2 linked regions of the Arabidopsis thaliana genome follow. The protein of the gene in region 2 interacts with the protein of the main gene of each other region in a pairwise test. Each region holds a gene or a part of one and is shown on either strand. Other genes may lie near its edges.

The links.
Region 1: the proteins of HDG11 (region 2) and RBCS2B interact in a two-hybrid assay, tested with the Arabidopsis thaliana proteins (one large-scale study listed by BioGRID).

What each region holds. Positions count from the first base shown.
Region 1 is NC_003076.8:15,380,332-15,384,089, forward strand, and holds RBCS2B (Ribulose bisphosphate carboxylase (small chain) family protein), read right to left. Parts: upstream 1,741-3,758; 5' UTR 1,648-1,740; coding exon 1,477-1,647; intron 1,387-1,476; coding exon 1,252-1,386; intron 1,112-1,251; coding exon 872-1,111; 3' UTR 576-871; downstream 1-575. UniProt on the Arabidopsis thaliana protein: RuBisCO catalyzes two reactions: the carboxylation of D-ribulose 1,5-bisphosphate, the primary event in carbon dioxide fixation, as well as the oxidative fragmentation of the pentose substrate.
Region 2 is NC_003070.9:27,580,980-27,584,737, forward strand, and holds the start of HDG11 (homeodomain GLABROUS 11), read right to left. Parts: upstream 1,707-3,758; 5' UTR 842-1,706; coding exon 696-841; intron 620-695; coding exon 502-619; intron 400-501; coding exon 211-399; intron 125-210; coding exon 1-124. Other genes in the region: SUS6 (sucrose synthase 6), read right to left, coding at 3,554-3,758. UniProt on the Arabidopsis thaliana protein: Transcription factor which acts as a positive regulator of drought stress tolerance. Can transactivate CIPK3, NCED3 and ERECTA. Transactivates several cell-wall-loosening protein genes by directly binding to HD motifs in their promoters.

The DNA.
Region 1 (3,758 bases), on a different chromosome or scaffold from region 2:
GAAAAAATGTTCGATAATTTGAATTATTATTTTTATATGTATTTTGTATTTGAATCATGAATTTTTTATATTTCGTTTGCATAGAAGAATCCAAAAACATATGATTTTTTGTCAAAACAAAAACTTAAAACCAAACATATAGTAGATGCGACGTTTTCATTATCATTTGGAATCTAGTTTTATTTAGAACTTTTTGGGAACGTTAACTACTTTTCCTTCTAAATAACTGTTTCAGCTTTTAATGCATAACCAATGATCAAATTTAACGTAAACAAAATTTCCAAAATTTAGTAACTTCATGCTTGACAAATTTCAGTCTTTGTCGATCCTTGCTTTATGTAATGCTATTTCTTGACTTAATATCCCACTTAGGGGTTTGGAATACATGTTTTATGTTTATAATTTTAAAAGATGCATTTGAATTTTCTGTATATACTACCTTTTCCAAATCTCCAATGGCTATGTCATCTGAAAAATGGTTACACTCCCTTACATAAACTTTTCTCTAAATATCGAGGTTTGATTGATTGCTTTCATGTGCAAAATTTCTTAAAACAATGTAGCAAGTTTTTCTTTTTTTATTAGAGTTTATTGGTTAGTCTAGGGAGTCAAAAGCAAGAATTATGAGGATAATTTAAAGGAGCCACAATGTTGTTTAAAGGAGCTAAACGAAAAATAAGATTTCAAAGATTTAAGGGCAAAAATGAAATGAAATGATAACTATAATTATAGAGAAACTGATAGGAATAACATTTTCACTTTCAAACAATAGTTCCTCAACTGTTAAGTCGGCAAATAATTTCTTAAATTTGCATTGACCACATAGAAATGGGTTCCAGAATAATCAACGCTGAATATTCCAGAAAGGGGATTAAGCTTCGGTGAAGCTTGGGGGCTTGTAGGCAATGAAACTGATGCATTGGACTTGACGGGTGTTGTCGAATCCGATGATCCTAATGAAGGCGCCAGGGTACTCCTTCTTGCATTCTTCAACTTCCTTCAACACTTGAGCGGAGTCGGTGCATCCGAACAATGGAAGCTTCCACATTGTCCAGTATCGTCCATCATAGTATCCGGGAGTGTTTCCGTGCTCACGGTACACAAATCCGTGCTATATATAAAGAAAACCATTCAATACAATTGATATATATATTGGTGATAGTCTATTTCGGTTATCCACTTAAGTTTCTAGCAATGAAGAAGAAGAATAAAGGATGCTTAGAGACAAAGGAAAAGTTCAGTGTATATTACCTCCAACTCGAATTCAACACAAGGAATCCACTTGTTGCGGAGAAGGTAGTCAACTTCCTTAGCCAATTCAACGTCACTAAGGTCAGGGAGGTAAGATAGAGTCTCAAACTTCTTCTTTCCGATTGGTGGCCACACCTATAAATTCGAATTCCCAATTATTCTAAAGTATTGTTCAGTTGCACTAATTGCACATGACAAAAGACAGTTTTCATTAATGACATTTACCTTCATGCAGCTAACTCTTCCTCCGTTGCTTGTGATGGAAGTAATGTCGTTGTTGGCCTTGCGGGTGACCGGGAAAGAAGCGGATGACTTCAAGCCGGTGAATGGAGCGACCATGGTGGCTTGAGCCGGGGAGGTAACCACAGCGGTGGAGGAGAACATAGAGGAAGCCATTACTTCTTCTTGTTGTTTCTCTTCTTCTTTTGGTTTTTCTCTTACTTACTTGTTTGTCTGTTGGTTTTGTCATCTTTATATAGTGGGAACCGCTAGAGGCAACTAGCCCTAATGATCAAAGGGGCCATAATTCATGATAACGTCGTTAATTGCCACAGGATTAAGGAAAGGTGTTGACACCCTTATCGATTTGGACCACTAGGATAAGATCACGTGGCAGAAAACTCCATAATCTTATCTTTCTCATGTAAGGGTAGGAGTGAATGTGTATGGCTACTGGTCTCCACTTGATCGGTTGCTTTTGGCTCCTTTCAATTGGGAGGCGTCAAATTGTAGATATCGGTTAAATACTTTTTACATATAGATTAAAAAAATGATTAAATTTCTATTACCTTATATTAACACATTCATATTTTTATTTTTCCACTTGATAATCTTAAATAATAAGAATATAAGTATAATCTTTGAATTCATCCCACATTTTAAAAGTATAATTAAATCAGACAGAGTTCATTCAAAATGGTTTTTAATTGGGAAATGTAAACTAGTATTTTGTGTTATTATTTTCTATGTAGTATGTACGATCACTAGAACTTTTAGTCACATAATGGATATTAAATTAGAAAACAATCCAAATGCTTGTGAATTTTCAGGTTTTACGGCTAATTAATATATTTCTGATGAACAAGAGGAACCCACGGCACCGTTCCTTTTGGAGCACAACGCAATTGCACTTACGGCCCACTTAAGCACGAATGTGGCACCTCAAGATAATTCCCACCATGACAACTTAAGCACAAAAGCCATGACGGATCATGGGGAAATTTTATAACACACTTCAATGGATGGTGTGGATCCGAGGGAAGAATCCACACTCTAAGGCCACATGAAGAAGCTCATATGGTCATGGGTCCACGAATACCACGTAAAAGCTCATATATGCCCCGGTCCAACCATATGAGAAGAAGTAGCCAAACCCATTCAAGAAACATTGATTACTTTTCATTGTAAATAAGTGTTTTAGCTTTGAATGTATCGTAAACTATCTAATTTAATGTAAAACAGTTTCCAAATTATAAATATTCATGCTTTGTTATCTCCATTATAAATTTCATTAATTCTTGCGTGTCCTTGCTTGCTATGATGTCATCTCTAAATTTTTGGACTTGCGGCTCTAGAATTCATGTTTATGGATTTAAAATATACAGTTGGATTTTTCTATGTCATTTTAAAAAAGAAAATTTTTAGATTAGATTTTAAAAAGAGAAATAAACGTGTTTACAACTTAATGCATACTTTTTTGAAAAACAAATCTAAAACAGAGGATTTGGTCTTAAGCTTGTCTTGTACCAAACCAAACTTGAAGACCTCCTTCATACTTCAAAGCTCCCCCCACTCCGTATTGTGCTCAGCCGGTTCCAAACATTTTTGTCAATTAACTTGACAAGTTTCTCCATTGGTGATGGTTGTTCACCATGCTTTCAAGCATTTCTTTCTCCCCAAATCGAATGAACCGTGTTTTGGAAGACATACCGTAGAATGAAGATTTTTGTTTTGTCATAGTTTTTGTCACAAATGGTTTTAAAGACTTCCCTCCAATATGTCGAGTACTTATCAAGTAGTATTCCCCTTATCAGCTTCTCCCATACCTTCTGCGAGTAAGAGCACCCAAAAAAAAGATGGTGTCTTGTTTCCATAGGTTCGTGACAGAACATGCAGTTTGTGTTCACTTGTTGATTCCATTTAAACATTCTGTCTCCCGTGGCAACTCTGTTTTTTGAAGCTAGCCAACTGAGAAAGGAGTAGTTAGGGTAAAGTAAAAGAAACAGATCCCTTTGTATCCGTCCATCGTAGGCTTAGTGTTGCGAATTTTTGAGCATGTATCTCTTGTGACAAACTTTTGACGGTAGTGATCATTTTTTCCTTTCCAAAGGGCTATGTAACTTTCATCTTCTCTGAGACGACATCTCTATTTTCTACGTATTTTTACTACCTTTACTGGCTGTTTTTCATCTTTAAATTAAAATGTTCTAAATCAACCCTCAAAATTTGATTGATGGACGCATCTTTGCTATGCTTTCAAGTGCGAAATGTACCTAAAAAGGGTACTC
Region 2 (3,758 bases):
GTCCACAACCAGTTAAACTAGTCATTGACAAATCCAACGGTGAGATGTGCATTGGATGTAGCGTAGAGAGTTGCGATATCGGTCTTCCCATGTACTTTGATGCAATGGTAGACATTCTTTCAAGCTATGCAAAAAGATCAAATTTTCACAGTCAAAATGATGTTTTGAATCAATCTTACATCAATAAAAACTCGCAAAACAAAACCAAACCTCTTCTCTAAGGTGTGCATTTTCAATCCGAAGCTTTTGTTCATCAAAGTAAGGATCTTCACTAACAGGAGGACCTCCACAGTTAGGACATATAGCATGCTTGAGAGCTTCTCTAATAGCAATGTTTTCGCAACGAATTTTATCATTCTCTGCCTTTAGTGCACTATTATCTGCTCTCTCATGTTGAGCCTACACAAAACAGTACCACAACGAAAATCAAAATCCTCTCTTTTCGTGTTCAGAATTACATTTTAAACTCAAAAGAGAGAGAGAGAGACAGAGACACAAAACCTTAAGCTGAGTTCTTCTGTTCTGAAACCAGAACTTGATTTGTCTTGGAGCCAAACCCAATTCTCTGCTAAGCTGGTTCCTCTGTTTCTCATCTGGATGAGGACACTCCTTGAAACTCCTGTCCAAGTTTCAACGATTACAAAATGAAAACAGAGTCCAAAAGATAAAAAAGAGAAGGGATTGCAGAGTAGTACGATTCAAGGCGTTGAATCTGTTGAGCGGTGTGACGATGGTAACGTTTCTTCTTCCTATCAGTTTCAGAGCCGTCGTGATGATGACTACCACCACCGTCTCCGCCGCTTCCACTACCACTTCCGCCGACGCCGACGACGAAACTCATTTTTTTTAATTAATGTTTCGAAAAGACAGTAAAACAGTCTTTAATCTCTTTACTTTTCACCCAACCACAAACTACTAATGGACCATTTACACCACTGTCACCATTAACACAAACCCAACAGAGCAACACACCAAAAAAAAAAAAAGGTTCAAATTTTAGAGAAGAGGAAGAGAGATTAAAAGAAAGAAAAAAAACGAAACGGAAGAGAATCTGAAAGAGAAGATGCAAAGGCGATGATTTCGGGAGGTGAAAAGGTTTCGCTTTAGGCAAGAAATTGATTACGAAAACAAAAGAAAAAAAAAAGGAATTTTTACAAATCCAAAAGAGATAGGTTTTTTATTTTAGCCGTAATAATGTCTCTTCTTAGTTCTCTACAGAGCCACCCTAGAAAGAGAAAGTGAGATAGTATATGATCTCTTCCTTGTAAAGACTTTCTCACCTAAGCTAAAGCCGCCATTAGTGCTCCCAAACCCCTTTTGTTGCTTCTTCAACATTCATTACAGATTCGCTAAAAGAAAACTCTCTCTTTAGAAATTGGCGTAACTGATGGGTTTTTAAATTGACAGAAGAAAAAATAGAAAAGAGAGAGAAAGAGAAAGAGGGTTTTAAAGTCTCTTGCTCTCTCCATTACTGCTAACTAGTACTCTCACCATACTCGGGGAAAGAGAGAGAGAGAGGACCGAACCAACCTTCTTCTTTTGTTTCTCTTTCTATACAACTAACTCTCTTTTTTAAGTTCCGGTGGATTTTTATGTTGCCGGAGAGGGTTAAATTGACGGTGGTTGGATAAAAAAAGGAGAGGACTTTATCCACTTTCTCCGGCGATTTTCTCACCTTCGTATAATGACAAAAATTAACTTTTATTGGGGATTTTGCTGATCTCATTTTCTTCTTCTTCTTTGGATTTTTTATTTATTTCTCTTTCTCATTTCCCAAGTTTTCTTACTCTGTTATAATTTAATTGTACTTTCTCTAATTTTTGCCTAATTTAGATGTACTAAAAACAAATAAAGATTTATTACTATAATACATAATATTTCTTCAAAATGAAAAATGAGAAAATCTGTGTAAAGGCAATTTTAATTACTTTGTACTAGATTCTTACTTTTCTTAAAACACCACTTGTTTTGTTTAGTGAACAAAGATCTATAATTAAAATGGATTTTCTTATAGATATTTACTTTTCTCAAAACATTACTAGTTTAAGGATATTTAATAATAATTATTGTATTTTAATAGTAGTAATTATTGTTTTAACTCGTGATAAAACAAACATTTCTTACCCACGGTTAAAACTATTAAAACGTTTACACATGGACAAACAACTTATCTGCACTGTAGTCTTCTATTAAAGCGAGCGGGTCATAAGTTCGACAAAATTGCCAATAGTAAAGATTATTTACTGAATACAATGAATGCATGGAACGTTCCACTAATTTATAATTTTTTCTATATAAGATTATTAGTACTATGTTTTACCTGATTTAATCATACATTCATATTTAGGAACATCGCACGTTATTCAATTCCTTTTAAGACTGTTTAAATAACATAACTTTAATATGATATAATTAGCTATTTTTATATCTGTTTAAATACTGTAATCAAAATAGCTTTATTTTTATTTTTAGTTGTTGTATTTTTGCATTTTTGGGTCGTCTCGATGTGTTGGCTGTTTCCTACTCACGCGGTCTTAACTCTATTCACTTCGAAGTGTATATCAAAAAAAGTCAAACTGTTTTTACTATACATTGAAATTAGAAACCTGTGGAAGAAAGAAATATGGTTGAAACTTGAAAACTTGACAACAATGTGAATTTATTATACAAACTTTCGTTGACAAAAGGGATTGCATGCGATTTCTAATTTTGTTTCCTCAACAACGACGACATTAAGTGTTAGCTGAAAATATGATACAACATACTGTATGATACTACTAACCTGATTATTAAAACAAATATGAAATCTCATAATTAAACTGATTTGCAAATTTTCTATTTGGTGTTATGTTTTCATTATTGGATGATATAGAAACGTATCATGGATTTCATTAGAGATTATGAATGCTATAATGCGAAGTAAATATAAAACTATTTATGAACTAAAGATAGTGTAATGAATTTGTGTATCATTCACCAATTCTTTGTTATTGATGAGATAATCATTTAGGAACAAAAGTTATTTATATTGTTTCTTATTATTATCAACTTTGGTCTTTAATTTACCATTCATGTGTGCATTATTTTATTCCTAAAAAATATTGACATCAGTCTGAAAAGAAGAAGCAATTAAATAGAGTCCTTAAAGCCTTGATATAAATTTCTCATCTTACCACATTTATTTTGGGACCTTGAATAAAGTGAACCAATTCACATACAGTCTCTGCCTTCGTTTGCTCCATATAGCTATCCCTAAATTTAATTATCATATGGACCGATTCATTACTTTATTTATTATCTTAAGATATTAATTCAAATATATGTTCAACCAATTTTCATAATTAATACATGCACATAGTACATACACGTGTGTAATTATATACAGTTGGACAATTTGGTAAGCCAATATTAATTCACAAAGCCAAATTAAAAAAAAAAAAAAATCTTGACCAATTTGATTTTATTAGTTAATTTTACATCGATGGTAGTTTCATTCATTAGTCATTACATATTTTACAGTTTTTCACTTTTCCTCGATCCAAGGTCAAACTTTTTAATACTCTTGAGCCGAGTTAGCACCAAAGAACCTCTGCTTCAAAATGTAGCAGATATAGAGACAAACAACGACTGACCAAAACAAGTTTCGAACCGGCGAAGCTCCTTGGCTATGTTGTTGTCCATACGCAATCTTCATCTTCTCTAGCTTCTGTTTCTCTTCCGAAGATTCTAAAACTTTCTTCACTCTCTCTGATGCGTCA